Rhinolophus ferrumequinum: one gene and its partners. The protein of the gene in region 3 interacts with the protein of the main gene of each other region in a pairwise test. Links are inferred from orthologs where the notes say so. Each region holds a gene or a part of one and is shown on either strand. Other genes may lie near its edges.

Region 1 (7,858 bases), on a different chromosome or scaffold from region 3:
CAAGAATAAGCGCATTAGAGATGTGTGGGAGTCTGTCCTAGAGGAGTGTGGGCTGCAAGAAGGTGATATCACAGCACTTTGTACCTTCTTTATCGCACATGGTAGCAAGTCAGAACACTACAGTGCTAACGTGAGGCAGATGTACATCAGGGATGTCCCTTTCATGATCACCAACATGGTAAAGAACCAGGCTCTGCGGGATGGTTTGCTGAGGGCTATTCAAGTCATTGAGAAGGGGAAAGCAGTGAGAGCCCCTGAAGAGCAAAAGTCATCCCTAAAAGAGTTGATACCATCAGTCAAAAACTAACCTGTTACGCTATAACCTAGTGATTCCATTTCCAGTCATTTATCTTGCAAATGAGAAAAAATATGTATATACAATTTTGTTATGGGTTTATTTTTATAGCACAAGTGAGGGGAGTGTTAGAGAAGTTATGATAAATGGATACAGTGGATACTTTCTGTGTAGCCACATAAGAGAATGAAGAAGCTCTTTGTGTTATTGTATAATGATATGGTGTTATCAGTAAGATGTATTGTTTTAAAATATTTATTTCCAATATATATTGTTAAGTGGGAAAAAGTGCAAAAACAAATACATACATAGACACATATAAGCTAATATACTCATAAACTTTATAAACTTCTGGAGAGATACATAAGAAAGTAATAACCTTGGTTGTTTTAGGGAAGAAAACTAAGAGACTAGAGAGTGAAAGGTAGGAGGAAGTCTTTTCACTGTTAATCCATCTTGTACATTTTGAATTCTGAACCATGTGAATGTATCATCTATTAAAAGACAAAACAACAATAAAAAATAAAAAAGTATATATTGTATGTTGATATACATTTTCTCTCTAGTATAAATATCACAGGTATTTATACTAGAAAAGGAATTCGCACATATTGACCATACATTTATGATATATATACAATTTTGTTATGATGTATATACAATTTATTGAACAACAAATGCCATGTGTTAGCCAGATGGCTCAGTTGGTTAGAGCACAAGCTCTTAACAACAGGGTTGCTGGTTCAATTCCCACACGAGCCAGTGAGCTGCACCCTCCACAACTAGAGTGAAGACAACGCTGAGCTGCTGGAGGGGTAGCTGAATGGCTCAGTTGGTTTGAGCGTGAACTCTTAACAACAAGGTTGCTGGTTCAATTCCTGCATGGGATGGTGGGCTGCGCCCCCTGCTACAGCGACTTGATGTGGAGCTGAGCTGCGCCCTCCACAACTAGATTGAAGGACAACGACTTGGAAAAACACACCGTTCCCCAATTTAAAAAAAAAAAACCCTTAAAAAAATGTATATATATATGGATCCTGTCCTCCTGGTGAAGGGTAAGTGCTGATGCTTTATTTGGGAGGTACAAATTCAGGACAGCCAGAATGAGGTAATACTCTGGAAGGGATGTTAGGTAGAGAAGGATAAAATACAAGGTGATATGTAATCTTGCTGGCCCCTCCTTGAAAATGAGCCACAAGAGACATGGAAGTTGCTTGGCAGGTACATCCACTCAGTCTGATCCTTCTCCATACACACTGTTTGGAGAAACCATGCCCATGCCTTCTTGGAAGGAAGAAGGAAAGGGAATTTCTCTGTCATGCTCACTCAGTCCACTGTTTTCAATTGGCCGAAATTTGTTCCAGGGGGGAGTGACTCCTCATACTTACATGATGCATCATCTAAGCCCTCCCACTACCCATTAGAAAGTCAGAGCCTACATTATTCAGTGCAATGTTTCACAGGAGTCCAAAAGTGGCAGGAGAAGCCAGCGATTCCAGGCAGCAACTGGTCAGCCCCAGAAAGACTAAGGGATGGTAGGTCCAGAAAGTAAACAAGGCCAAGGAGGAAGCATATACTCATAAAATGTATCCATTACAGAAGACATAAGTACCTAAAAATAGAAATCAAAATGCAAGAGTTAAATAATAAGACTACAATAAAAACTACTATCACTAAGAGATATACAATTGGATGAGTTCAGCGAGATATTGTTACTGTGACAAGGCCTGTGTGCTTGACGCACCAAATATTTAATATCCAGTAGATCAGAGTTTAGATTAGGAAAAGTTTTATTTATCGAAATGGCACCATAACGAAAAGATAGAAGATTTCTAGTTTTGTCAAATCCATCTTAAGACACAGCAAATCAAGATGTGGTAAAACAAAAAGATCAAGACAAATGAGATCTAATGCTAGTGTCAGTTTAATGTCTACTGTGTTTTATATAGTATCTTTTTGTTCACTTTGGAAAATTTACTAAAAATTGCAAAAAATATTGTTCAAAGATGTAAGGATTTTTGAAACTCAAAATGCATTATAAATAGACTTGATGAAATAAATTTTTAAAAATCCATCTTAAGAGAGTCCAGAATTCAGCCTTCTTTTATGACAAGGGAAGGGAGAATGGGCTGGGCAAGAGGTGGGAACCAAGGAAGAACAGAAATCTCCAAATCTCTTTGTTCTCAGTTAGTTCTTGACTCCCTCTGATCTGAATCCAGTCCTGAGATTATTATAAATCTTTGATAAACAGGCATGGCTTTGCATATCTTTTGCCACTTATTCAGGAGGCTGTTTTTGCAGAATTTCTCTAGTCAATTAGCATATCAACAATAGGAACTATTTTCCTGAAGGCCCTGGGAGAAATGCATGCTAAAATTTATGGTAAACAGCATATGGGAGAGAAACAGAAGCATTCTATTGTTATAGTATCACTGTCTGATGGAGAAATACTTCCTGGAGAAGTGCACTGAGTTGATCCTTGAAGTAGGCAAAGTCACAAACCAACTCATTTAGGATGAATTGAGAAAGCAATGACCTGAAAGCACAAGATGACAAAAAGTAGATCATAGTTGAATGTTTCAAAGAATAATGGAAGATTCCATGGGAAAAGCAGATTGATACCATATTAGGGAGGTGGAATTCTGGGCTAAGGAATTGATACTGGACAACTGGATGTCAACCAAAGGTTTCTGAACCCACATTAAAACAAAACAAAGCTTTTTACCACGGACCTACACATCCTTGTTTTGGTTCCATCTGGAAACCACTCATCTCCTCAATCTGAATGAACCCAATAGACCGAAAAGAACTTTGACTATTTTCATGCACAGTGGTTTTCTTTTCTCTTTCTGTAGTTAATTTCCTCAAAAAAAACTCAGGCCTAGTTCTCTACCCCCCACCCCCATTTTTTTATTGTGGTAAAATACACATAAAATTTACCAACTTAACCATTTTCAAGTGAACAGTTCAGTGGTATTAAATACATTCATAACGTTGTACAACCATCACCACCATCTATCTCTAGAACATATGAAACTATGAAACTGTATATCCATTAAACAATAATTCTCCCAGCCCCTGGCAAACACGATTCTACTTTCTGTCTCTATGAGGTGTTAACGGAAGAACGTCCAAATCTATAGAGAATTTTTTGTAAGAGTTTATTTGACCCAAACTGATGACATACATCAGGGAGCAAGATTTCATATGCTCCAGAGAGTAAATTTTGCAGCTTTTTTCATGCATTTGAAATTAAGGAGGGAAATAAGGAAGATCACAGGAAGGTGGGAGAAAGCAAGACAGGGATTGGATTCCGGGATAGTTGACAAGATTCTGTGCTCTCTTGAGGGAGGTTATGACTTATTTCAAAGGTGCATTAACCTAGATGCACAGAAGCAGTGGAGATTGTTTGCTTAAGACAAAGAAAAACGTTTTACTAAAAAGTTATATGCCTGGAGTGTGACTCTCCAACACTATCTGCCAGTTAGGAAGTTATGATTAGATCACCCTGTGAAATTACTTTCCATACAATCTCTTTTTTTGGTCCACAAAGGCTTGGTTCTCAAGTACGAAGGGTCAACCTATATTTAATCCGCCATTTTCCTAACCAAAATATGTATTTTTCGTAGAACTGAATTCAATAGGCTCAGTTGTCAGTACAAAAACTTAATATCAAGTGGAAAAACTTATTTCAAAATGCATAAAATGTTAAACTATCTTCTTTTTTGGCTTCCTCATAATTTTGATTATTCTGGATTGATACTTAATAATAAAGTACTACATTGTAAATGATGCACATGACTGCTAAGCTTCAGTCAGGATGGATGCGGACGGGAGGTTTCCCAAACGCCTAGGAGGGAAGGCAATCCCAAAACAACCTATCTCTGGGCCGCATACTTGAGAAGGGGCTGGACTATAGCTTTCTACAGTGTTAAATGCCTTTATAAATTGTACCAGTTTGGAGATTCTCAGACCACAACCTTTCTGGGAGATTAACCTCGGAGATGCTTTTCTAAGAACTTTGGGCAGCGAACTAAGAGGCTTAGTTACAAATGAACAGAAACAGAAAAGTAGTTTGAGTACTTAGGGAAGAATTTTAAAAATTACTGTTCGGCCTCTAAAGTTTGTTTGGGTTCCCTTTTCCGACCACAGGCCAAATCTCGCGACACTCCCAGGTTTTCGCAGCCCCGGGAACAGAAAGTGCAAAGGAAGCTCGGACTTCACCTAAGCTGAAGTAGGAAGGGCTGAGACGCGGGAGCAAGGCCCTCCCCAGGCCGGGTGACCGAATTGGTGGCGCGCCCAGGACCCGGAAGTCCCGCCCTTCCCATTGTTATTGGTCTTTGCCCGTGGGCGGTTCTCTGGTGGGCGGGGCCATTTTGGCGGGCAATTGTGACGTTACTAGTCCCAATCGGGTTGCTTCCGCACCACAGCAAAGGTTAAGCTTTTTGACTGATACAGGGGTAAGGAGCGCCAGGAAACGACATGAGACACCGAAAAGCTGGAACGCTCGGGTTCGTATGCTGCCCATACAGCAACGAAAAAACGGAAGACCTGCTTTAGTGAAGCCAGGCGTCCGGGCGGAAGCAGCGTCTTTCCCGGAGCGGTGGTTTTGGCGGGTGTGTGCCTAGACAGCCTTGGGCTTGGCTGCGGGCAGCTGAGGGAGCATCTTCACCTGGTGAGAGGGAGGAGGGGAACTTGGCGCATACCTCCCGCCGCACCAGAGCACCGGAACCCAGCGCCCGCACTGCGGAAAAGGTTCTCTTAATGCCTCGGAACAGCCAAGGTCTTCCGAGGGAAACCTTTATTTTCTTATCCTACGTTTGTCCTAAACGTGGACAAATTGCACCGCCTTCCAGGGAAGTACTGTTTACCTGACCCGCAGAGCGCCTTTTGCTTCAAGACGTATTTGATGTGTCCAATCTCTGAATTCTGATACGCTGCTGGGCACAGTATTTAACACAAAACTGCTAATTTGCTTTCTCATTAATTGGGCCGGAAATACTATTCTTTGCCTTTTCGGGTGTTGATGTTGAATATGCCGTTTTAGTATATTAAAATGGCTGTGCCTAAAGACGCCATCCGTTCCTTGTCGGATTGCCTATGCGGGATCTGCGTGGAAATCTTGATCGAGCCCGTAACACTGCCTTGTAATCACACGCTCTGTAAAGCATGCTTCCAATCGACTGTCGAAAAGGCGAATTTATGCTGTCCCTTCTGTCGCCGCCGGGTCTCGTCGTGGACTCGGTACCATACCCGAAGAAATTCTCTTGTCAATAGAGAACTGTGGGAGATAATTCAAAAACACTATCCAAAGGAATGCAAGCTTAAAGCATCTGGGCAAGAATCAGAAGAAATCGGTGAGTAAAACCCAGCGTGTTTGTTGGCTAAAAAACAAAAAACCTAAAAAATGAGTCACTGCTAATGGGTTTTTTCAAAGGATAAAAAAGAAAGCCCGACTAGTGTCTGTCTAAATTATTCACAGGGGCTTGGGTTCTATGGGCGCCAAAGTCAGTGGCAAGATTTTAGTCATTGTTATAATGCCCAAGGTGTGTTTAGTTGGTGTTTGTTGGGTTAAAAATTGAAAAAAAAAAAAACACCTCACAAAAATTGCTGGTGTGGAGTCTTCATTCTTATGAAAAGTTGTATAAATATTCACAGATGAGCAATAGTGGTAGTACAGCAACCGCCGAAATAAGGAATCCAGTAGTTACTGGATTCCTGTGTTAATATTTCTTTTACTTTCAATACTTTCTCTAACTTATTTGCTATACATATTCATCCTAAGCCTGCAAGGAGCCTAAACTAGCTTTCTGAGACCAGTTCCTTCTGGTTAAGTCATTTTTATTCAAAACCCTCCACTGTGTGGACTCAGCAGCTAATTCAGTGTGTCCCAAATGAAACAATTGACTAGCAGCTTGATCCACTTATGTGATCAGTAAGCCATGCAGTGTGTCTTAATGTGGTGGTGTCTTCTCTGGTGTACTTGCCTTTTTTTGTTGGAATTATTTTTATTGTAATTAATATATATAACAAAATTAGCTATTTTAATCATAGTTTCAACAGTAGTTACCTTTTATTAAAACCACTGGATTGTCCTCACCAGAAAAAGCCAATCTGTGTGAGAACTCCCATGTGGATTTTGGGTCCAGTGATGCCAGTATCATCTAATTTTTTTTCAAGAAAACCCCAAAATCTGGAAGTCCATAGTTTGAATCCTACCAGAATAAATTGAAATTCTTTTAAACTACAGGCCAGAGGAAAACACAGCTGTAGGTCACCAGTTTACCATCACTGTCTTGAAAGAATAGATTAGTTCAAACAAGTTCACTGTTAACAAAATTAGAGATGTAGTCTATAGGAAAAACATTCAGTAATGCTCTTCTCTATGTAAAGCATGTATAGAGGATGGAATCAAAAACAGAATCAAGAATAGTTTGATTTTTCATCAATAAATTTGTTGCATTTCCAAAACACACCCCACAAAAAACGCTTTATTGAGAAACTCACATACAATTGTTCCATTTAAAGGGTTCAGTTCAGTGGTTTTGGTATTTTACATTCTTTTTGCAAAATTGCAGTAAAATGTATATGACAAAATTTGCCATTTTATTTATTTATTTATTTATTGGGGAAGAGGAACAGGACTTTATTGGGGAACAGTGTGTACTTCCAGAACTTTTCCAAGTCAAGTTGTTGTCCTTTCAATCTTAGTTGTGGAGGACGCAGCTCAGCTCCAGGTCCAGTTGCCATTGCTAGTTGCAGGGGGCACAGCCCACCATCCCTTACGGGAGTCGAACTGGCAACCTTGTGGTTGAGAGGACGCGCTCCAACCAACTGAGCCATCCAGGAGCTCAGTGGCAGCTCAGCTCAAGGTGCCGTGTTCAGTCTTAGTTGCAGGGGGCGTATCCCACCATCCCTTGTGGGACTCGAGGAATCGAACTGGCAGCCTTGTGATTGAGAGCCCACTGGCCCATGTGGGAATCGAACCGGCAGCCTTTGGAGTCAGGAGCATGGAGCTCTAACCACCTGAGCCACCTGGCTGACCCCCATTTTAACCATTTTTAAGTGTACATATCGGTGCCATTAATTACATTCACAGTGTTGTGCAAATTTCACCAGTTGTTTCCAAAGCTTTTTATCACCCCAAAATTTTTAACCATTAAGCAATGATTCCCCATTCTTTTCTCCCCGTTTCTAGTCTACTTTCTGTCTCTATGAATTTGCTTATTCTAGATAGTTCATATACAATATGTGATCTATCGTATCTGGCTTAAACTTAGCATAATGTTTCCAAGGTTCATGCATGTTGGAGCATGTATCAGTAGGAGCATGTATTCCTTTTTAGGACTGCGTAATATTCTATGTTATGGATATATTTCATCTATCCTTTCATCCACTGATGGACATTTGGGTTGTTTCCACCTCTTGCCTATTTGTATAGTGCTAATACGAACATTAATGTACAAGTATTTATTTGACTATCTTTTCAGTTCAGAATTGCTGGGTCATATGGTATTCTGTGTTTAGCTTTTTGAGGAACTGCCAAACTTACACAGGGCTGCA
Region 2 (8,229 bases), on a different chromosome or scaffold from region 3:
TCTTATTCCTGTTTCTACCTTAAATTTTCTTTCTCCCTCAGTCTCGAATTCATCACCCCTTATTTCTGTATGCTACCAAAGGTATGTTGTATGTATCTTTGTAAGTCATTATGAACTCCTTCTGCAACAAAATGTGATACAAGTAAATGATATCCTCTACTTGAAAAACATTACAGCACAATAAAATATTGTCTTCCATTAATAAACATTTTATGAGTTCAATTTCTAAAGACATTATCTTTTTTGTGCTCCAAAAGAAAACAGAAAGTATTTTAGCAACCATTATTTCTAAAATTAGGAAATTCTAACAACAGAGGAAATACAAAAATAAAACACTTTCATTATGTATTTTTAACTTTGGAGCACACAGAAAATTGTAAATATATCCCCATGTAAAAATCCAACAGTTAATTTTTAGTTTAAAATACACACCAAATCATCATGACTGCAATTACAATTGAGTATTCTGAATGGGAACTGACCAGACTAGCTTCAGATTTGATTCATACAATTTGTGTACAACCCCTTCGTTGCCCTGTTCCTAGCACAGAGGATGATGCCATCACTCCTTAATGTGAGGCAGCAAAGAATTTAGAGCCCCAAAGGCTCTTGCTACATTCCTGCTTCAGGGAAGCCAGCAATCTCCTTGCTGTCATTTGAGGAAAATAAAAAGCTTAAGATTCTCTTAGTGTGTAAAACTTTACCCATTCATGAACTCATACTTGTCATTCTGATCATAACTTCTGACTTTTAACTATATATATGTATCTAGTTAATTGATTATAATTAGTTTTTCACCCTCCTAGTGACCATAAATGAGGTATGCTACCAGACACACGAAAAAAGGCTCTACTACGCAGTAAAATTTATACTTTCTACGCCAACAGTACTTCATCAAAATCAGAAATCTCACTGGGTAATTTGAAAGTGGCACCATAAAAAGACAGCCTTTTCTTAAAGTATTTTAGCTTCATCCAAATAGCAAACACAAAAAACATGAGTTACACATATTAAGTGGGATAAAAACAAGTCTATCGTTGTTTCTCCTAAGCATTTATTCAACAATAGTCTAGCTTATTTCAAGGTATTTCAGTCATCTGAAACATGATGTTTCTACAATGCTTTATGAAAGACATGAGCGTTTAATAAGACTTTCAAAATGTTTGGCCTCTATTGTGAAACTCTTGTTTTTAGTGTGACAACTTTATTTATGGGTTAAGAAGACACTTAATAGCATTTCTATTCTGTGTCACAGAATAGACAGGTGTATGTTACACAGGTATTGCCTACATTTTAGGGATAGATCAGCTCTGCTAGAAATGTATCCTTTGCAACCAATAAAAACATATGTGCCCAAAATTAAATTCATACTGTCAAGACTGAAATTCTGCCTCTAGCCAAAGACTGCCACAAGTAAATCAAACAGGATCTTAGTTTTTTTTGTATGTAAATATTAAAATAAGTATTGATCAAATTTTCACTGGAAACTAACATCAGAAATCAATGAATTCTCATCAAGGGAATAAGTCTCATGGAACATTTGTGAATTCCCAACCTGGATTGAAAATGCAAAGAGATAAAAGCAGAATTTCTGTTTATAGAAGCTTACAAATTCGCAGGTCCGTCACTCTTACACAAAGAAACAAGTAGTAAATAAACAGACAATTCAATTCAAACACTTAATGAGCAGAAAAGATTAAAATACGCATATCACATAATCAAGCACACAGACCTGGGCACAATCCCCAGCCACCACACAGCAAACTTCTATTTAAGGACGAAATGCCCCTCCTTAAAGCCCTTCCCCAGTGCTGTCACTAGCAGGTCAAAGGCCTAGCAAGCTCCAGCATCTCTGCCCCTCTACCTCCACCTCTGCCCTGCTCTTTTTCACTTTTCAAAAACCACCTCCTGGTAGTTACTGGCCACTTTTCCTTTAGTGGCACCACGCCCACATTCCTATCTACCCCTAAAATTCCCACCCTGCTTTGTTAGTTTGAATATTACTCAATTCTTCACTTTACTTCCACAAAGGCCTTCCATGCCACCTTTCTCCACCGTCCACATCCTGCAGTCCCTCGGGGTGAGGAGGGACCTTTAGAGTGCTCCAATGTTGTTTTCAAAGTATCTTTGCTGTGTCTCCTCCCTCCCCTCTCCTAAATTGTCTAACTTCTAGAGAGAAGAAACAGGATAGTTTACAACGTCAGTAAAAACTCAAATCTTGAACACTTCTTAATCTTCTGCATGCGAACCAGTAACTCTTAAAAATTAACATTATTTACTAAATAAACTAAAAATACAGTCAAATCTTCTTGCACCTCTGGCAAGTTGTACCTCTGGTACAACTATTTAATAATTTTTTAAAAGCAGTTTTAGGTTTATAGAAAAAAGTACAACTATTTTTTAATCTCAAAAAACAAAACAACTCTTCGGTTCCCAAAAAACCACACCTCGGGTGATGCTGTAAACTCGTTCCGGCAATTTTTCACGTCTAATCTCAAAGGCAACACGAGCCCACCAGCGACCAATGACAGACACAGTTCCCAAACACAGGTCTTGGTCACCAGCGCTGAGACACCACCAGCAGCTGTCTATGAGCTGTTCTCCAAAGTGGCTGGGTCCTTCCCTCCCTCTCTACTAAACTTCCGTGATGGCTGGGCATCCCCTCTGCTCTCCTCCAACACGGTTCGGAAGCAGGGACTTCTGCCCCTAATCCCAGGGCCTCAACCAATCACAGGGCGAAAGTTAGGACCAGTCTTCAAGTCCCGCGCGACGAAAGTCAGCACCCTTCCAGCTCCGGCTCGTTTCCCTCCCCAAGACCGACGCGGGTTCGTGATGCCCCGGCTCCCCTGCCAAGGCCAGGATGCGATCTGGGTCCAAAGCCTCCAATCCAGGCGGGTCCCCAAGGCCCCAGGGCACGACCCGACCGGCCGCCACCACAGGTGTACCTTCGGACTCCGCGGACTGGACAGTGAGGAGAAAGCCGGCCAGAGGGAAGCCATCCCGCGAGGGCAGGATGGGTGGCACAAGTCGGCCAGGAAATGATAGTAAGCGTCTGTCCGTCGGGGTTGGGCTGGGCCTTGGAGAACTTGACCAGCGCCTGACACGGGCAGGCTGAGCTCTAAGAGGATTAAGGGAGACGACCACGGCCTGGGGCCGGCCAGGGCCGCGCCGCCGGGGCCGGGGTTGGGACAGAGGACCACAAGAGGCTCCGAAGCCAAACGGCCCCGGCCGGTGGGAGGCACTGACGAATGACCCAGCAGCCCCCGCCCGGATGGCGCCGCCGCCCCGCCACCTGGAGCCGCGAAGAGCGCTGCCCTCGGCCCGGGTCCGTCAGCTCCGTACCTCGTCTGCGGCTCAACCGGCGTCCAGAACGCGGCTCTCCTCGCGTCTCTCCAGTGGGTCGCGGGTCCGCCAGTCCACAACCCGCCCTCACAAGGGCCCTCCCTTTCTCAAGCCCCGCCCCCGGCGCCGCGTGCGCACGTGACGCGCGCACAGACGTCACTTCCGGGGCCCTGGTTTGAGTGGGAGGTTACCTGTGCGTGTTCCGCAGGAGTCTCTGCTGGGTGGCGCAAGGCCGAGGCGGGCACGGAATGACAGCACCGGCAATGCCAGGGGAAGTTGCCGGCCTCGAGGCTATCCCTGGGCGCTGACCTGAAGCGTCGGGAGCCGGCGAAGAATCGGCGTTTCTGTCTTTTCTTCAGTCCTCGCTTCTGGGATGTCACGCGCAATAGCTTGAGGGCGACTCTGCCTGTTCTTGGGTCCTGCCCGACCATGTCTTAACGTGGAACCGGAGGCGGAGGCTGCTAAGTTTGCGGGAGAGGAGTCATTGGGCCCGAAGACGGTTGCCAACACGTAGGGAATGAGGCCGCTTGAAAAACTAATGAATCCCATTCTCTCACGGATTTTAGGATTGTCCAGGTGTTCACATTAAAGGATGTGAAAGAGGTTAGTTGATCCAGAAGCGTTCTTAAATACCTGAGTTAAGCGACACTAGAAGTTGAATAAATTAGCTAGTGTCACACAGTATTAACGGTCAAGTTATAAAGGAAACACAGTTTTTGTGATTCCTATTTCAGAAACTTTGTGTTAAAAAACAAAATTTACCGGGTATAATTTGAAGATCTAATTGGCTTTATTAAGTGATTCATGAATTGGTCAGCACTCCATCTAGTAACTAAAAGGGTGCTCTGAGGGGTTGTACAAAATGGAAGGTTTTTATAGGAAGAAAGTAGGGCAAGGGAGCTATTAAAAGCACGATTTTTGGGTCTGCACATTTTATTTGGGGGAAGAAAATGGGAAGAGTTTTTATCATTAAAATTGCCTCTTCTTTCTATGAGGTATGAAGAGGGCTCATTCATATATTACCTTACTGGTGCTTGACCAGGAAGTTCCAGAATGGTTAAGAGTATATTTCTGGGAGAGGTTGAAACTGCAATTGCAATCTTTGACCTTCTCGATTAATTCCTAAGTATTTTATTCATTTCAATGCTATTGTAAGTGGAATTATTTTCTTAGTTTCCTTTTCAGATTATTCATTGTAAGTGTATAGAAATGCAACTGATTTTTGTGTATTGCTTTGTATCTTGCTACTTTGCTGCACTTATTATAGGTTTTTGTGTGTGTGTGTGTGTGTGTGTGTGTGTGTGTGTGATCTTTGGGGTTTTCTACATATAAGAAGAAACAGATAATTTTATTCTTCCTTTCCAATTTGGATGCCTTTTATTTCTTTTTCTTGGCTAGTTGCTTGGGCTACCACTTCCAATACTCTGTTGAACAGAATTGGCAAAAATGGGCATCCCTGATCTTAGTGGAAAAACTTGCAATCTTTCACCACTGGGTGTAATGTTAGGTGTGGGTTTTTCATATGTGGCTTTCTTATGTTGAGGTAGTTTCCCTCTATTCCTAGATTGTAGAGTGTTTCTACCATGAGAGGGCATTGAATTGTGTCACACACTTTTTCTCTTCAATTGAAAAAATCAGGGAGTTTTCCCCCCCGTTACTCTCCTAACATAGTGTATAACACTGATCAATTTCTGTATGTTTAACCATCCTTGTATTCCAAGAATATATCCCACATGGTCACAGTATATAATCCTATTAATATGCTGCTAAATTCAGTATTGTATTTTGTTGAGGATATTTTTCTGTCAATGTTCATATGGAATATTGGCTTTGTTTTCTTGTAGTGTCTTTGATTGGCTCAGTATCAGGGCAATGCTGGCTTTATACCATAGAATGAGTTACAAAGCATTCCCTCCCCTTTCAATTCTTTGGAAGAGTTTGAGAAGGCTTGGTATTAGTTTTTCTTTAAATGTTTGGTAAAATTCACCAGGGAAGCCATCAAATCCAGGGTTTTTTCTTTGGTGGGAAGTTTTTGATTCAATATCCTTACTAGTTATAGGTCTATTCAAATTTTCTGTGTTTTTTTCTTTGTTGGGAAGTTTTTGATTACTGATTCAATATCCTTACTAGTCATAGGTCTATTCAAATTTTCTGTTTCATTGTGATTCAGACTTGGTAGGCTATGTTTCTAGGAATTACTTCATTTCATTTGGTTATTCAATTTGTTTGTATACATAAATGCTCATAGTACTGCTCTCTTATAACCCCCTTTTTAATGTAAAGTCAGTAATGTCCTCCCTTTCTTTTCTGATTTTAGCAATTTGAATCTTCTCTTTTTTTCTCAGTCAATCTAGCTAAAGATTTGTCAATTTTGCTCATTTTTTTAAAAAAACCAAGTTTTGGTGCTGTTGATTTTCTATTTTGTTTTCCTATTCTCATTCCATTGATCTCCATTCTAATCTTTATTTCCTACCTTCTGCTAGCTTTGAATCACTTTTCTCTTCTTTTTCTAGTTCCTCTAAGGTATATAGTTATTAGAGATCTTTTTTAATATAGATGATTAAAACTATAAATTTCCCTCTGAGCACAGCTTTCACTGCATTCCCTAGGTTTTGTTTGTTGTGTTTTCATTTTGATTTGTCTCAAAGTATTTTTTATTTCTTTTTTTATTTTTAAGATTTTATTGGGGAAAGGAAACAGGACTTTATTGGGGAACAGTGTGTACTTCCACAATTTTTTCCAAGTCAAGTAGTTGTCCTTTCAATCATAGTTGTGGAGGGCACAGTTCAGCTCCAAGTCCAGTTGCCATTGTTAGTTGCAGGGGGCGCAGCCCACCATCCCTTGCAGGAGTCGAACCAGCAACCTTGCGGTTGAGAGCCCACTGGCCCATGTGGGAATCGAACCGGCAGCCTTCAGCATTAGGAGCATGGAACTCCAACCGCCTGAGTCACTGGGCCAGCCCTCAAAGTATTTTCTAATTTCTTCTTTGACCATTGGTTGTTTAAGGCTTTTTTTTTTTTAATTTATATATTTCTGGGAGTTTTTCTTCTGTTACTGATTTCTAAATTTGTTCCATTGTGATGAGAAAAGATACTTTGTCTGATTTCAGTCTTTTAAAATTTATTAAGACTTGTTTTGTGACCTAACATGTTCTACTCTGAACAATGAATGTTCTATGTGCACTTTAGGAGAACGTATAATCCATTATTGTTGGGTGAAGTGTTCTATATATATTTGATAGGTCTAATTATAACATCGTCCAAAGACTCTCTTTCCTTATTGATCTTGTCTCTGGTTGTTTTATCCATTATTGAGACTGGGATAGTGAAGTTTCCAATTATTACTTTAGAACTATCAATTTCTCCCTTAATCCTGTCCCTTTTTGTTTCATATATATTTGGTGCTCTGTTGTACATATATACAGAGGGTGCAAAAAAAATGTATACACATTTTAAGAAAGGAGAACTGTATTAAAATTGTAATACTCGATATATACCAATAAAAGATGAAAACAAATCACGTTTGACTTCTGTAATTACATACAAGAGGTGCTCAAAGTGGTTACCATCAGCGTCTAGACACTTGAGCAATGTTGACCAAAGTGTCCACTTATATAAATTTTTTTGGCACTCCTGGTTTTTTGGCACCCCAAATATATGCTTATAATTGTTGTATCATCTTCTTGGATTAAATCCTTTTCAGTATGTAATGTCCTTCTTATCTCTTGTAACCATTTTTAATGTAAAATCTATTCAGTCTAATAATATAGCACTCCAGCTGGTTACTATTTACGTGGAATGTATTTTTCCATCCTTCTACTTTCAACCTCTTTGTACCTTTGTATCTAAAGTTAGTCTTCTATAGACAGCATATAGATGGAACTTGTACGAAAATTCATTCTGCCAATCTCTGAGATTTAATTGGAAGTAATTTAAACTGATAAAGAATGATTTATTTCTGCCATTTTGCTACTTGCTTTCTATATGCCTTATATGTTTTTGTTTCTCAGTTTGTCCATTACTGCATTTTTTGGTATCTAGTTGTGTTTCTGTAGCCTACCATTTTGATTCTATCATTTTCTGTATATTTTTTGGTTACTTTCTTAGTGGTTACCTTTGGGATTATAATTAACATCTTAAACTTATGACACCAACTTGTTGTAAGTTCAATAATACCAATTTACTTAAAATAGTATATACTCTGCTACTGTACATCTCTGTCCCTCTCATTTTATCTTGCTGTTGTCAGAGATCATCTTTATAAATCATGTGCCTATTAACAAATGTTTATAATTAATGTTTTATGCATGTCCTTTTAAATCACATAGGGAAAAAAGAGGAGTTACAAAACAAAGTATAATACTGGCTTTTACATTTACCTAGGTATTTGCCTTTACTAGTGTTCTTTATGTCTTTATGTGCTTTCAACTTATTATCTAGTGTCATTTGTTACTGAGCCTGAAGGATTCCTTTTAACATTTCTTATAAGCAGTTCCACTAATAATGAACGATAGCTTTTGTTTATCTGGGGATGTCTTAATTTCTTCATTCTTGAAGAATAATTTTGCCAGATATAGAATTCTTAGTTAACAGGTTTTTTTGTTTTACTTTCTTTCTAATTTTTTTGACATTCAGTTGTTCTTTTATATTAATTTCAGGTGTGCAGCATAGGGGTTAGACATTATAATTTAAGAAGTGATCCTTCTGACCAGTCTAGCATCCACCTGGCACTATACATAATTATTACCATATTATTGACTATATTCCCTATGTTTTACTTTATATCCCCATGACTATTTTGTAACTACCAATTTGTACTTCTTAATCCCTTCAGTTTTCACCCTGCCCCTCAACTCCCCTCCTATATATCACTACAATAAATCTAGTA
Region 3 (8,805 bases):
ATAAATAAATAAATAAAACCTGTCAGATCCTGCTATTAGGAAATATCTGAAACTTATTAAAAAGTTTACTATATAGAGCTCTTGGCATATATATTTACATTGTGCAACACAAACACAAAAAATATCTTTTAACTACTCATTACAGAAAAATACCAGTGTGTTCCTTTGCAATCAGCTAGTCCCTTAACGGAAAAAATTTTTAATCCTGCTGCAGCTGAGACTATTCTTTAAAGAATTAAGCCAGTATTCCTGTAGCTCTGCTAATTATATACTATTTAAAGAAAAATGTTATTTTTGTCCACTGAAAATATAAATCATTTACGTTGGATTGGTGTTTCTCAGGTCATCTAAATTAACTATTCCTAAAAATCTTATTTTCTTCGGAGGAACAAAATTTTTTCTACAAAAGTTTCTTTTTTCTTTTTTTACTTTTTAATTTTTATTTTAAGTGTGTTTTTCCAGGACCCATCAGCTCCAATTGAAGTAGTTGTTTCAACCTAGTTGTGGAAGGGCACAGCTCACAGTGGCCCATGTGGGGATCGAACTGGCAACCTTGGTGTTAAGAGCACTGCGTTCTAACCAACTGAGCTAACAGAGTGCCCAGTAAATTTCTTTTTTTTTTTCATGCTCCCATTTTTTAAAAGAAATTATTTTCTTTCAATTGATACCAAATTTGCATATCGGCATCTGGGTCATTCACTTCAGGAAAGGGCAACCACAAAAAACTCCCACTGTCACAAATAACATGTTTCAAAAAATGTTCCTTCATGATACCAAAACTCATTATTATTTAGTCCTGGAAAAGACAAATACAATTCTTAACACTATGTTAGCATAAGGATAAGAGAAAGAGGGCAATAAGTCAAAGATATCCAATTTGCCTGGAATGGGGGTAGGGAACATGGAAGGAAATTTTGAAATAAAAATTCACACCTCTAAAAAAATTTGCTCATGAAACTGAAATAAGTACATAGTCTTATAGTATTTTTGAGGGAAACAAAGAGTAAAATACAAACAATTTATTTGCTTCAAAGATTCAGAAAGACATCCAGATTTAGCTTGGATTTTTCAAGAGACTTACCCTGTGACAATTCTTTGGAAGAAATGGGTGTGTTAACTTACAAAACATAATACTGAATTCCAATTCATTAATTCATTCAACATTTAAGTGCTTTTCTGTGCGAGAAACTGCACAAAGCTTTGGGGACATAGTCCCTGCTCTCGAGGGTTTACAGTCTTCATTAATCCCACAGTTACTATCTACTATGAGCCAGATGCTGGGGATTCGGAGCAAACAGGAGACACAGGGTCCCTACCTGCATGCAGTTTACACTGTGGTAGGAGGGAAATGCCTCAAGGATGAGACATACATCTAAATACACAAGGATATTAACTAAGACTCAAGTTTATAAGTGCTGTTTATGGGAGTGTAGAGAGTTCAGGGGGACACAAAGGAGTAATGGATGGATTCAGGACAGGAGGGAGGGGAAGGCAGCGACTCCAGATGAGGTGACAGGAGAGCTGAGTCCTCAAAGAGGATTAGATGTTCACCTGGCCGACCTTGGGGGAAGGGCTCCAAGCAGAGAGAACAATTGGAGCAAAGGCAGAGAGGTGTGAACAGGCTGGTGTATGTGGTAGGTGTGGAACACAGAGACGTGAGATAAGTAAGTCATGGAGGCTTCCTTACGCCACAATAAGACTGGACTTTACTAGCATATATGAAAGGCCCTTGAAGGGTTTTATTTAGAAAACCAGCATATGTGATCAGGTTTTTCTGGTGTGATGAGACACTGGTCTACACACGAATGAGAAAAGAATAACACTAAATAATGATGTCACCATGAAACAACAAAGGAGACTTGCCCAGTTAGAAAACTAAACCCCCTCAGGAAAAAATATTAAGCCACTTAACCATCTAAGGCCTTCTGGAAAAAACTTTTTAATCAACATCATTTAAAACTGAAGAAGTAGAGGAAAGGTTTGTATATATTATAAATTATAACATCCACATATCTATCCTGAGTTTTCTGAATAGGTCTTAGCTTTTATTAATTGTGTAAACACATCTGGGGCTGCTGATTGCTGTACAGAAAGCAATGAAACTATTTAGGAAAGAGTCTTTGATACAAAAGGAGAACCACAAGTAACAGAAGGTTATTTCACAAGTCAGGTTTAAAGGTTTCCAAAGTTCAAGGTAATCAAGTTTTATTAAGTCTGCGTTTAAAAGGTGTGTCATGGGCTGGAGCAAAAGAAGGAGGGGTTTACAAATTAATACATACACAAATAAACAAGTAACTACCAGTATTGATGTTGCTGGGACTAAAACCACCACTTGAAGATCTTCTCCCAAGTAGAAGAAATGAACACCTACTAGATCCAATGAACACGAATAGAAAGGGGAGGGAAAGAGAGGATAATCACACGGGAAAATATAAACGGGGGGCAACCACCCATCCACAACCCATAATCCAGCTGGCGGTGGATGAGCAAATCATCTCCAAACCTCACAGGTCAGACTCCGCGATTCAGACATAAAGGCAGGGAAATGTCACTCTCAACTCCACAAGCAAACCACGAGCCTCTGGTCAAGGGGATATGATCACATACTCAAGGACAGAGTACCATCACCACACCAAGACTGAGGGGATGTGAAGGATCCCCCCTACTCTGGGAGTGGGGAGCAATCACCCTTAGACCCTGCTCTAAGGGGGTCAACGCCCCCCAGGCCAGGCCTTCCCGAGGCCAGGAGCAGTGACAGCCTCGAAGACCCCTCAATCTCTGCGGGAGCTGCCTCTACTCCTCGCACCCCCACCTCCCCAACACACACCCTCCCCTACCTGATATGGCGGCGGCGGCTCCTGATCCGGCTCTGTCCCCTCGCCAAAACTAGCCCGGTCGGACTGAGACTCGTGAAGCAGGGAGATGTCATCCGAAGTGGGGGATTTGAGGCAGTTCCCCATCTTCTGGGGCTGGGGTGTGTGATCTGGGGGAGGAAGAAAGCAGTGGCGGGGTCGTTCTTAGGCTCCGCGGTCAGCCTCGGTCAGCGAGGTGGGGTCCGGCAGCAGGCCGGGGCTCAGGCGGCAGCGGCTTCCCCGCCCCCCGGAGCCGCCGAAGGGCCGCTCATGCCAACCCCCGGGGTTGGGGGCTCAAGGCTGGCCGCGGGCTCCGCTGGGGTCGCGGCGATAGCCTCTGCGAGGTGGCGATGGGGGGGGCGGGCGGGGAGACGAGACACTTCCCCCACCCCGCCCCCCCGCGGGGCGGCGGCGGCCACGGAGCTGCTGGGCCTAATCCAGGTCAGGAGGTGGGGGCGCGGCCGTCGTGGCTGCTTCAGCTGCTGCCTCAGCTGCTGCTGCCCCTGCCGACGCCGGAGCCGCGGCCGCGGGCCTCATCCTACTCCGCCTCAAAGCGGCGGCAGCGGCGGCCAGAACGAGGCCAGCTGCGGCCCTGCGTCATGCCGCCGTGCGTGCTCTAGTCACGCCCCTGGCGCCGGGAGGCGTGGGCGGTTCTGGCTGCGCCCGCCCTCCACCCCACCTCCGCAGCCTTTCTAAGGCTGTGTGAGTTTCTGCTTGTCAGACTGTTGGTTCTATACCTGACTCTGAAACCTCTCTGTCGTCTCAACGTCCTCCCCACATCCACTTCTCCCTCCCTTCTTGTCTCAGCTCTTTACCTGTGCCCTGTTCTGACAGTCTTCTCACCACATTCGGCCAAATAATCTATTTATAAACCCTATCTGTATCACTCCTATGGTTAAAAGGTTAGGTGGTTTCCCCTTTATTCCTTCAAGATAAAGTTCGAGCTCATTCATGAACCTTCTCTATCTATCCAATCACTCCCTTGTTCTCCTGCATCACAGCTAGAGTCTTTTTCCAGCTGTATATCTCAGATTGTTCTATTTCTTTCCATTCTCAGCACCATAGTCCAAGCCACCATCATTTCTCGCCCACCCTACTGCAATGCTCTCAGCTGTTCTCTGCATTAACGGTTGCCCCATCCAATCCATTACCTGCACAGTTGAATTACCTTTTTAAAATGTAAATCGGATTATGTCATTCTGCTGTTTAAAACCTTCAGTGGCTTTCCCATACTGTTATGGGAAACTAAGTATTATGACTTAGTGTTATGATTAAGTATTAATTCTTAAATGGTTTACAAATCTGTCTACCTGCCTATCTCATCAGCAGCATTGTCCCCTCACATATTCCAAACTCTAGGCTGTGTAAACAAAGTACTTTCGGTTATCTAGAAGACTTCCCTCTGGCTGAGGCCTTTACCCATATTGTTTCTCTGATAGAAACTGACTTCTCCATTCCTAACCTTCTACCTCCCTCAGGCTAACCGTGATTTCCACTTGTCCTTCCTGGACTCAACTTCATTTCCCCTAGGAAGACTCTCCTAACCAACCCTGTCCAGTCTGGGTTAGTCATTTCCTTTGTGTTCTCAGTCCCTGATCTTTTCTCTGTCACAGTCTGATCAAGCTGAATCATCTGTCCCTTCTCTGTGCAGAGTCTGGCACACGGCCTAAGGCAGAGTAGTAGGCTCTTGGGTGAATGAAGGGGCAACTCAAAAGGCAATGTATGCAAAGGAAGGCAACAAGAAAGATGATGCTCCTAATATTCGACAAGAAGACAAGAAGTGGGTCTTGACTCTCTTTCTTTTGTCCACCATTTACTGCTTTTACTTATTTTTAAATATGTATTTATTTAGGCTCCAGACCCTATGCTAGGCACTGACTTACCAAACCTGGCTTTTTCCTGATGGAGCTCAGAGTCCAGCTAGGAAGACAAGTAAACAGCTGAGTCCTCTGACTCCCCCACCAAAGGTTTTTAGAGGGCCCAGAGGAGAGTGATTAGACAGTTAGGTGAGGATCTGAAAGGATTCTTGGAGTCCCTATTCTACAAAATTACTGTCTTGTTTAAATGCATTCGTATCTCATAGTAAATATAACCTTTTTGCTGCATGGCCTCTTCTCCAAGACTTGCCTTCCTTCCCATTAATGGCTCCCATCTAAATAGGTATGTAACTTAACACCACGTTTGTATCACAATCTTTTAAACACACTCCAAAATGATTGCTTAATTCACTAGCTTGGAAAAGTGAAATTATTAGATCCTTTAGGAGGAAAACTTCAGGCACATGCCTCTTCTCCCCCATTGTCATTTTCCTTGTCTGTTATAAACTGTTGCAACAGCTTAATGAAGATTTTGCCTCTGAATCATCTATCTATTCTCCACACTACTGCCATGAAAACTGTGATCAGAGAGCATTCATAGACTCATGGTTCAGAAATTTCGCATTAGCCTTGCACCATTTGGTCCCATCCTTATCTCCAATTCCAACTAGGCATCCTTATAATCCAGCCGCATCACACTACTTGCCATGTTCTCAATTTTCAGTATGCTTTTCCACCTCTGACCTTTTGCCTCACTGTTCTCTTTTGTTGAAATTCAGCCATCTTTAAGATGCTCCTTAAATACCTCTTTCTTCATGTAGCTGTCCTTGATTTCACTTAGTTGGGCTATATGTAACAATATAAAATAAATGGGATTTATTATTGTATTATACTGTATATATCTACATAGCATATATGAATATTTTAATGCAATTTAATATATAATCATAACTGCCATTTATTAACCTGAGCTAGATACATAACAGCCTTAAAAGGTATATATTGATATTCTTGTTTTGTAGGAATAGAAACATGGCTTCACATGGCTATTCAGAGGTAAAGCCAGGATTTGAATCATATACCCGTTGTTTTTATTAGGTTGTGGGAAAGGACTACATGTTTTTTCATCCTGGTCTTCCTCCCTCAGTGTGTAAAAACAAGGGAATGGGGGAAGACTTATCTTGAATGCCTTTGTAAGGAAGTAGCTATTCAATGATCTTTCTTCCTAACCCAGCTTTAGAAAGGAGCCTTTGGGAAGTGCCCTGTAGACCAGAGTGTGACCTAATCACAAAACATAATTTAAAATAGAAAATAGTAACCGGGACTTTTACAGTGACAAAGGCTCTTCTGACCTAACTCTGCCAGGCTTCTCTAAGCCCTCAGGGCCCTAACCTTGGGCTCTGTGCTTGGCCCACTTATTCCAGTTTTAGCAAGAATCTAGCTGAGTCAGTTTAGCCAGAATCCCCGACCCTCGGTATCTGACCACCTTGGCTTGCCTTCAGCAAAAATCCTATCAAGTAGGTTTAACCAGAATTCCCCTTATTCCTGATGTTTCCTCTTAGTAATTTTCCATCCACCCTGCTCCCACCCTGCTCCTTGCCCAGAAATCCCCATTTGCCCTTTTTGTATTAATGGAGTCCAGTTCTATCTATACTGAGGTTTCTTTTTCCCTATTGCAATAGTAGTTCTTGAATAAAATTTGCACCACTTTAACTTTTGTCTGGCTCTGGTTTTCTCTGACAGAAGGAGATCTAATGCAGAAGCAGATATGAGAGACAGATTTTTTTTTTTACATAGACCTTATTTTTCAGATCAGTTTTATGTTCACATCAATATTAAGCAAAAGGCACAGAGATTTACTATATGCAGCCTGCCCCCACACATACATAGCCTCCCCATTATCAACATTCTGCACTAGAATGGTACATTTGTTACAACTGATGAACCTGCAATGACACATCACTGTCACACAAAATCTTTGCTTATGTTAGGGTCACTCTTGGGGTTGTACATTCTATGGGTTTGGACAAATGTATAGTGACATGTAGCCACCATTGTAGCATCAAACAACATAGTTTCACTGCCCTAAAAATCTCCTGTGCTTCGCCTATTCCTCTTTCCCTAACCACTAACCCCTGGCAAACTCTGATTTCTTTACTGTGTTCATAATTTTACCGTTTCCAGAATGTCGTATAGTTGGAATCATACAGCATGTAGGCTTTCATATTGTCTTCTTTCACTTATAATATGCAATTAAGGTTTCTCCATGTCTTTTCATGGGTGGCAGCTCATTTTTTTTTTTTTAGCACAATAATATTCCTCTCTCTGGAGGTCCCACAATTTATTTATGCATTCACCTACTGAAGGACATCCTAATTGTTTTCAAAATTTGGCAATTATGAACAAAACTGCTATAAATCAGAGTACAGGTTTTCTTTCCATTTTTTTCATTGAGATAAAAAATATGCTTAACATAAAATTTACTATGTTAGCCATTTTTAAGTGTACAATTCAGTGGTATTAAATACACTCATAATATTGTGCAACCATCACTACCATCCATCTGTAGAACTCTTTTCATCTTGTAAAACCAAAACTATTCATTAAACAATAACTTCCCATTCTCCCCTCCCTCCAGCACTTGGCAACCACCATTCCACTTTCTGTCTCTATGACAGATATAGGTGTAATCATACAGTTTTGTCCTTTGATGACGGGCTTATTTCACTTAGTATAATGTCTTCAAGGTTCATCCAAGTGGCAACATATTGCAAAATTTTCTTCCTTTTTAAGGTTGAATAATATTCCATTGTATGTATATACCACAATTTGCTTATCCATTCATCCACTGATGGACACTTGGGTTGCTTCCATGTTTTAGCTATATATAATGCATTAAGAATATGGGTGTACAAATACCTCTTCAAGACCCTGATTTCAATTACCTGGTTTTATACCCAGAAGTGGAATTGCTGTATTATATGGTAATTCTACGTTTAATTTTTTGAGAAACTGCCATACTGTTTTCTATAGCAGCTGTACCATTTTACATTGCCACAGTCTGTTTGCAGGTTTTTGTGTGAACATGTTTTCAGCTAATTTGGATAAATATCAAGGAGCACAATTGTTGGATTTTATGATAAGAGTATCTTTAGTTTTGTAAGAAACTACCATAACTGTCTTCCAAAGTCGTTGTACCATTTTGCATTCCACTTGCGAGGAACGAGAATTCCTTTTACTCCCTATCCTCAGCAGTATTTGATCTTGTCAGTGTTCTGGGTTTTGGCCATTCGAATAGGTGTGTAGTGGTATTTCATTGTTGTTTATTTTCTATTTCCCTAAAATTTGCCTTGCATGTACTTATTTTCCATCTACATATTTTAATTGATAGGGTGTCTGTTAGAGTATTTGGCCAATTTTTAAAAGAGGGTTGTTTATTTTCTTACTGTTGAGTTTTAAGAGCTCTTTATATTTTTTAGAGAACAGTCCTTTATTAGATGTGTCTTTTGCAAATGTTTCCGCCCAGTCTGTGACTTGTCTTTTCATTCTCTTGAATCCTTTACATAGCAAAAATTTTTAATTTTAATGAAGTCCAGCTTATCAATTCTTTCTTTCATGGGCCATACCATGGATTGTATCTAAAAAATCATTCCTAAACACAAGGTCATCTAGATTTTCCCCTATGTTATCTTCTAGGAGTTATATATATTTGCATTTTACATTTAGATGTGATCCATTTTGAGTTAATTTCTTTGTGAAGGGTGTAAAATCTGTGTCTAGACTCATTTTTTGCATGTGAGTATCCCGTTGTCCTAATATTCTGTTGAAAAGACTGTCTTTTCTCCATTGTATTGCCTTTGCTCCGTTGTTAAAAATCAGTTGACTATATTTGTGTGGGACTACTTGGGCTATCTAGTCTGTCCTGCTGACCTATTTGTCTATTCTTTCATCAATACCACACTGTCTTGATTTCTGTAGCTTTATAGTAAGTCTTTTAAAAATACTTTTATTAAAAAGTATAGTTAACATACAATATTATATCAGTTTCAGGTGTACACCATAACTGTTCAACATATATATACCTAAAGAAGTGATCACCATAGTCCAGCAATCAGTTGACACCATACTGTGCTATC
Region 4 (7,798 bases), on a different chromosome or scaffold from region 3:
AATACAGTATAAACTTTATATAATCTTGGGGGGGAGCAATCCTTCTAATCATGATCTTTGGGTGAGAAGGCAAAAAGGAAAAGATTTATCCATTTTTTATTATTATTTTTTATTTTTTTAGTCATTTTAATGCATTATTCCCTGTGCATAAGAGAAATAACTGATAGAGTCAAAAGATACAGTTTCCTTTACATAGCAGTTAAAAGTAATGCAAACATCACATGACACTTTCAGTGGAAGTTACATTTCTAATTACAAATCAAAATGTGTATTATTAGGGTATCTTTATGAGAGAAGCTGAGAAAGAAGTCTTAGGTAAAAAGCACTTTCCTGGCATTACTACACTGATCCTTCAGGCTGCACAAAGATTAAGGTCATATACAGTCAATCGGCAAATGTTGACACAATTTCACACAGTAGTTTTCTGTACAATTAAATGTATACTTAGAAATACCAGGATAAACATTTCTACTATATTTGAACTGAACTTGCCTAGCCAACATTTTCACTGAGTTGATCAAAGATGCTGTAAGATTCTACAAAATTGTGACATACCTAGCTCCAGAAATATTTCTTATATTCTCTCATTTTGATGACATATTCTGCTCAGATTCCGCTCAGAAATTCTGTTGTAATATTTCTAGATGTACAGTTCCAATTGTGCTTACTGTACTGTGTACAAATATAACAAAAAAGATCAAAGACTGATATAAATCTTACAGCATTTTGCTAGCAAAAATACATGCCAAAGTCACAATAAGCAATATTGTACCACAAATTAGAGCTTCAAATAATTTGCTTCTGGTTTTAATATTTTCATTCTACATTAAATTACTATAAGCTAATGTTTAAAATGCAAACAAATTGGACATCTGTAGGACAAAACTTGTTCACCCAACTGTGAAGTTTGATATCTGTTTCCAAAAACCACAATAAATGCAGAAGAGAAGTGTTTGCATGCAACACCTTTGAGTGAAACAGCATTGATTCCCACCATTCAAAACAGACAAGGAGAAGGAAGGAAGGAAGGAAGGAAGGAAGGAAGGAAGGAAGGAAGGAAGGAAGGAAGGAAGGAAGGGAGGGAGGGAGGAAAGAAGGAAGGAAGGAAGGGAGGAAGGAAGGAAGGAAGGAAGGAAGGAAGGAAGGAAGGAAGGAAGGAAAAAAGAAGAACAAAAAACAAGGAAGGACAAAAGGGAGAGAGGACAAAAGGAAGGGAGGGAGGGAGGGAGGGAGGAACGAAAGAGGGAGAGAGGGATAGGGGTATGGACTCCACCTTAAAATGTATCATATTATATTTATAACTAGACAGATTTAAAAGAATCAAAACGAAAGAAAAGCATGATTTTGTGTGTTTAAAGATTTAAGAGCCATTATCAAAAATAAGATACATTTTTTTCAAGGTACAGAAATGTAATTATGATGGCTGGGAGCCCAGCAGCCTCTCAATGGCTGCATTGATATCGCCTCCTGTTGCTATTAGAGCCTGCAAGTTTGCTTCACGGTTTAAGAACCCCATTGCGTTGAGCTGTTCCAGTTGTTGCTGAAATCTGACTTCTGGATTTGGCAGCTGTGGAGGATTTGCTCCAGCCAGAGCCTGCACCATTTGCTGAATGAATTGCTGGTTGGGTCCAGATTCCGATGTTGGGCTCGTGGTTTCACTAGGTGCAGAGCTAGACATGGTGGGCCCAGGGGTGCCGCCAGAGCCAGTGGAACCAGGGGGACCTGCAGGGCCAGTGGGTCCTATGGGCCCAATGGGACCTATGGGGGTAAATGGGACTATGGGGCCAATGGGGCCTATGGGTGTGACTGGGCCTACAGGGCCTATAGCGGTTCCCAGCACCCCCACCCCCACACCTGGAGTGAAGCTTGGAATGAGGCCAGGAGCTTCAGTGGCTAATGTCTGTAGCCCCTGCTGGATCTGCATTAAAGCCTGCATTGCTCTTGGGTTTGACATAGCTGACAGCGTATCTGGATTCTGCATCTGCTGCAGGAAAGCCGGGAGCTGTGGACGCATCTGCTCCTGCAGCTGAGGATTTGCAGTAAACACTGGGCTATTCAGCATCATCTGTGCAGCCAAATCTGGATTCTGGCTCAGTGACTGCATCATGCTTCTCATGTAGGGCGCAGACAGCATATTCTGAATCAGCTGGGGGTTTTCAGTTATCTGTTGCAGCAAGCTCTGCATTCCGGGGGTACTGAAGATGCTGGCAACATAATTGGCTGCAGCCATGGTGTTCCCAGTAGCACTACTGGAGCTACTGCCAGACCCACTGCCACTGCTTGTGGTTGTGCCGGTGGTGGTAGAACTCTGAGTAGCCGGTGGTGGTGCCCATGGATTGGGTAGTGGATCTCGATTTTCAGTGCGGGAAGGCTGTGTACCTTCCCCGGAGGAGGAACTGCTCCCGGTGGAGGCAAACGGATTACCCCCGAACTGCTCTTGTGCAGCATTCAGCATGGGTTCTTGAATGTCAGTGTACATGCGCCGTAGGGCATTATAGCCACCTGGGATGCTTTCGAGATTGCTGAGAGCCAGGTCTTGATTTCTCATCATCTCTTGCATCATTGCTGGATTCCTGGCGATTTCGAGGGTCTGCCTCATTATATCTGGGTTGTTGAGCAGGTGACTGATTTCTGGGTTTCTCTGAATCAATTGTTGCATCTGTGGATTGGCCATAATGAGCTGCCTCATCAGATCGGGATTCGAAAGCATGCTCTGAACAAAGGGATTTTCCATGATTTGGATCATCATCTCAGGGCTGGACAGAAGCTGCTGCTGCATCTGATTCTGGAGCTCAGAGAAGTTGGTCGAGCTCAAACCCAGGCTGCTAAGGCCTGCAAGTCCTCCCAAGCTCCCCAACCCAAACGGGTTGCTATTTGTGGAAATAGGTGTGGAGTTACTCCTGGGAGTCGACGCGGTAGTAGTATTAGTTCCCGCGGCATTACCGGGCTGTGTGGACTGGCCCTGAGGTCGGTTCTGGCTTTTGATGACAAGGTGAACAGTCAGTCCATCATGGATGCCGTGCTGGATCAAGGTATCTTGATCTTTTAAAATTTTTCCGGCAAAAATCAGCACTAGCTGATCTGTTTGGGATTTGAAGCGTTTCGAAATCGCTTCCTTAAACTGCTGGACTGAGCTATTCTCTGGCACCGCGAACTCCTCTTTCTCTTTGGGAGTCTTCACAGTGACTTTGATGATTTTGGGCTCGGCCTGGGCAGAGGCAGGGCCTTGGGCCGCAGCAGGGCCGCGGGAGGGGCGCGGGGGGCCGCTGCTCTCGCCGTTCTCAGCCATGGCGGCCGCGGTGACGCAGGCAGACAGGGAAGGCGCGGGCGGGCGAGAGAGAGAGCGAGGGAAGGAGGAAGGAAGGAGGCGCCGCCGCAGCAGGCTGGGCCGGGCCGGGCGGGGAGCGCGGAACACAGTACCTCTGTAATGAAGATTGCGGTTTTCTGATCCTCGGGTGGAGAGACGGTTCCGTGCAGGCCGCGGGCCGAGATCTCAGCGCTCAGGTCTCAGGGCCTCCACCGCCGCCGTGTGATCCCACCGCGCGCACTCGCAGCAACTCACGCAGCCGCTCCGCCCGTTCCTCCCCGCCCCTTCCCCTCCCCCAGTGCCGCGCGCACCTCCCCGCCCCCCTCTGCTGACGCGGCGCCAGGCCCAGAATGATAGATACGACTCGAGCAAAATTAAAAAACTTCTATACTGAAAAAAAGGGGGAGGGCGGGAGAGAGAGAGATTGAGAGAGACAGAAAGACAGAGAAACAGAGAGGGAAATAAACAAAGACTAAAGAGTAGAGAAAAGAGGGAAGGAGGGAGGGAGAGAGGAAAAGGAACCAGCTTCTGTAGAAGACATTAGAAGACCAATAGGGGAAATATATATATGTATATATAAATCTCTTAATAAATCTCAAGAAAATATATATATGTATATATAGATGTGTGTGTATATATATATATATATATACACACACATCTATATATACATATATATACATATATATGTATATATATATATATATATATATGTATTTGAAGTCCGTAAGGCAGCGAAAGAATGAAAGCCTGAATCCAACTGACCCCATGTAAAGACAAAAAATGAAAAATAAAGAACAAAGCAAAAAGGAAAAGATTAACATCCCCAATGAGAGAATGGGAGAAGACTGGGCAGAAGCATACATTTTACGAAAGAAGTGCAAATGGTCAAAGGGCATATAAAAAGATGATTAAGCTCACCAGTAATTAAAAAAAAATCCAAATTAAAACAATGAAATTATACTTCTGCCTTGTCACATTGACAAAGATGAAAAATGATAAACCTTATAGAGAGCTGAGAAGATGCACTCTCATGCTAATCGAAGTGTAAGTTATAATCATAAGGCAATTCGAAAACATAAATCGACATTTTAAATATTTCCGCCTTTCTCTAGAAATACCTCATTTAGAGACCTTGCCTATGAAAATAATTGGATAAGGATGCAAAAACATAGATGTATAAAATGTATATGCACTGCAGTATTTTCAAAAAATTATTTTAAAAGATGATCAGTGTCTGTTTACACAAGATTGGTCAAATATGATATTGCCATACAATAAAATAATATGCACTATGTTTAAAAATGGGTGGTTAATTCATAAGATATAAAGTATCTTTAAAGGTATACATGAAATAAACAGTAGTTCTAGGAAAATTGAGAGTATTTTCACTTTCAGCTAAGTATGTATAGTAGAAATTATACAAGCCTGTTTGTTTCAATACCAAAAAATACAATAAATATGTTTATTTTAAAACTATTTGAAACAGTTTATGTATATAAACTGTCTTTAACTGTATGTGTAAAAAGAAATCTGGAATATTATTCATTAGTATGTTACTGGTGGTGATTCCTTAGTGCTGAAATTATGAATAACTATTCCTTTCTCTTTTTAATTTTAGATTTTTTGATGGCTTTTATAACTATGCCCTGCATTTATAATTTTTTTAAAAAATCAGAAGGCATTTGGGGGTAGATTATAAGTAGATACTGACAGGCATACAATAGTAGTGCCAGACATTACCATATTTAACTAATTTAGTTACAGATAAGTAGGAGAGATAAATAAAGATGTAACACTGGAATAATAGAACAAATAATTTCAAATTTATGTATAAATTACTTTTTTAAAAAAGAAAATTTGTCAAATATTTTATTTAACTCATTAAATTATAAATTTTGAACTCTAATTTATGCTATCCAGAAAATACTTTTCCCTCCCAGTATCCAGCCAGCATTTGAAAATAATTAGGCCACAAAAGCCTTAAAATATCTCAAGAAAAGAAAAAAAATGAGTATGTAATGTCTATCAAAAGGGGAATGGATTAACATAGTATGATTTATATGATTAATAGAATACAGAAGATAAAAGGAATGAACTAAATCTAAACATATTAATATGTATAGATCTCAAAAAGCTAATTAATTAGCACAACACTATGGTGTTTATAGATGCATTCACATGTATGTGGAGCAATCGCAAATATACTAGAATGATTCATACCAAACTTGCATTCATGGGGAAGAGGAAATGGACTAGGGCACAGGATAGTGACTAAAAGGAAATTGAGTTAAATCTGTAAAAATACATAAATTTGAAATTATTTGTTCTTTCATTCATCTTTATGGAAAAATATGGCAAATATGGCAAAATAACAATAGTTAATTCTAGATGATAGGGATATGAGTATTTATTATAATACAGTTGTATTTGGGGGGATTTTTAATTTTCCAAAAAATAAGAAAATATCACAAGTTATCTTATTTGATTTCAATAGAACAAATCTAGATATTAATAATGAAAGTGTGAATGAAAAAGTCAACCACTTGAAAATTAAAATAGCATTACACACTTTGGGGACAAAGTGCAAATCAAAGTTTTTATTAGAGTAAATTTAGAAAAACGACAATAATGAGAATATATACATCAATAATTATGATGAGAATTTCCTGTGTGGTCTGAGGGTCGTGTTAAAAAAATACATGAATCTAGGCCCCACGATAAACTTACCAAAATAAGTGGTGCTCAGAAAACTGCATTCTTACCAAGCTCCAATTTAATGATATTTGATTTACCATGTCCTATGTGAATGAATTCAGGGTCAAATTTATATACTCACAGACCAAATACAAAACAATTAAAAGTGAAAATAAATGAATTAGGACAACAGAAAAAGAGGGAAACGGTGCTGAAAAAAAATGATAAAAGCAAACATTAATGAATTAACAGAAAGAAAAATAAAATTTGTTAAGTGAATCTAAGAAGTTCTTTGAAGAAGCAAATCAAATAGATATGCCATTATTAGCTAGTTGATTTTATTACAAGTCCATCACCAAAGAAAACAGCAGGAGTCACCCTCTCTAGTCGGTCAAAAGTACATTTTTTTTTCCTACTGTAAACTCTTTGTTAGAGAGCAGAAGTAAGAATAAATACCAATCATCCTGGAGTCCCTCCATAGAAGGGTAGTTTCTGAGGGACTAAAAGACTTGTCAAAGAGCATGTCCCCATGGAGGAATCACAGTTTGGGTTCAACGGACAATGTTAGAGATTTCATGCTATGTTGGCCTTTGTTGTTTTCCTCCCTCCCCCTAGATTTATTGAAATATAATTGCCATATAACATTGTGTAAGTTTAAGGTGTACAGCTCATTGATTTGGTACATTTATATATTGAAAAATGATTACCATTGTATCATGACCTAACACTTCCATCACGTCACATAATGACCATTTATTTTTTTCATGGTGAGAACATTTGAGATATACTCTCTTAGCAACTTTAAAGTATATAATACAGTATTATTACCTACAATCACCATGCTATACATTAGATCCCCAGATCTTATTCATCTATTAGGTTAGTGCAAAAGTAATTGTGGTTTTTGCAATTATTTTTAACCTTTTAAACCACAATTACTTTTGCACCAACCTAATAATACTTGGAAGTTTGTACCCTTTGACAAATATCTCCCTATTTCCCCCCAACCCACAGCCCCTGGCAACCACCACTCTACTTGTGTTTCTGAGTTCCACCAAAAGCACATTTCCTTGAGTTTTTATCCATTTTTTAATAAATGATGTTATATTTTGCATTTTGTTTCAAAATATATCCATTGTAATGTTTTAAATTACTTACAACTAAATAAAATGAGCATTCCAGTGGTTGAATGAACATGCCTTTGTTAGTGAGAAGAACAACATCAATTAGCTTAATCTTAAAATTTAAGAAATGAGCAAGAAGATAAATACATAAAAACTGGGATTGCGTAATTTTTTTTTTAAAGTATGATAATACTTTGTAAAAATCTTGGCTAACAACAAAGAAAAATGGATGATTCTATAAATTTTCTAGGAAGATATACATGACCAAAATATATTAAAGAAGTAGAAAACCTTAACAGATCATGTAAGACACTTGTAAGAAAAAGAATAAGAAATCAAATAATTTGCTATTTTAAAATCATCTTTCTTGTTCAGGGTTGTGGCTGAGCTAATGCTTTTACCTCCTCTCTTTAGCAAATCCCATTCAGTTAATTGAAATGACATGAGAAAAATAATAAATCCCTAACAGTGTTGAAAAGGTGGAAAGAGTGCCATCCATGAATCTTCATGTTAAATACCAAAAAATTCTAGATAAAAAAATGAAATCATAAAACATTAGAGCAAATATTTATATAACCTAAGCATGGTGGTGACCTTTCTAGAACAACAAAGAAAAGGATACATTAAAATTACAACTAAATTGTAGAACAATCAACCTGGGGAACCATCT

What was found.
Region 1: the proteins of RNF11 (region 3) and RNF168 interact in binary tests that used the Homo sapiens proteins (3 or more experiments, as listed by UniProt). The link is inferred for Rhinolophus ferrumequinum from reciprocal best matches to the Homo sapiens genes RNF11 and RNF168.
Region 2: the proteins of RNF11 (region 3) and RABGEF1 interact in binary tests that used the Homo sapiens proteins (3 or more experiments, as listed by UniProt). The link is inferred for Rhinolophus ferrumequinum from reciprocal best matches to the Homo sapiens genes RNF11 and RABGEF1.
Region 4: the proteins of RNF11 (region 3) and UBQLN2 interact in binary tests that used the Homo sapiens proteins (3 or more experiments, as listed by UniProt). The link is inferred for Rhinolophus ferrumequinum from reciprocal best matches to the Homo sapiens genes RNF11 and UBQLN2.

Annotation. Positions count from the first base shown.
Region 1 is NC_046285.1:50,815,043-50,822,900, reverse strand, and holds the start of RNF168 (E3 ubiquitin-protein ligase RNF168), read left to right. Parts: upstream 1-4,688; 5' UTR 4,689-5,351; coding exon 5,352-5,652; intron 5,653-7,858. Other genes in the region: SMCO1 (single-pass membrane and coiled-coil domain-containing protein 1), read left to right, coding at 1-307. UniProt on the Homo sapiens protein: E3 ubiquitin-protein ligase required for accumulation of repair proteins to sites of DNA damage. Acts with UBE2N/UBC13 to amplify the RNF8-dependent histone ubiquitination.
Region 2 is NC_046290.1:99,235,113-99,243,341, forward strand, and holds the start of RABGEF1 (rab5 GDP/GTP exchange factor), read right to left. Parts: upstream 3,470-8,229; 5' UTR 3,343-3,469; intron 3,327-3,342; exon of another isoform or gene 2,946-3,326; intron 1-2,945. UniProt on the Homo sapiens protein: Rab effector protein acting as linker between gamma-adaptin, RAB4A or RAB5A. Involved in endocytic membrane fusion and membrane trafficking of recycling endosomes. Stimulates nucleotide exchange on RAB5A. Can act as a ubiquitin ligase.
Region 3 is NC_046292.1:36,590,927-36,599,731, reverse strand, and holds the start of RNF11 (RING finger protein 11), read right to left. Parts: upstream 3,442-8,805; 5' UTR 2,961-3,441; coding exon 2,838-2,960; intron 1-2,837. UniProt on the Homo sapiens protein: Essential component of a ubiquitin-editing protein complex, comprising also TNFAIP3, ITCH and TAX1BP1, that ensures the transient nature of inflammatory signaling pathways. Promotes the association of TNFAIP3 to RIPK1 after TNF stimulation.
Region 4 is NC_046284.1:80,383,615-80,391,412, forward strand, and holds UBQLN2 (ubiquilin-2), read right to left. Parts: upstream 3,580-7,798; 5' UTR 3,290-3,579; coding exon 1,415-3,289; 3' UTR 1,147-1,414; downstream 1-1,146. UniProt on the Homo sapiens protein: Plays an important role in the regulation of different protein degradation mechanisms and pathways including ubiquitin-proteasome system (UPS), autophagy and the endoplasmic reticulum-associated protein degradation (ERAD) pathway.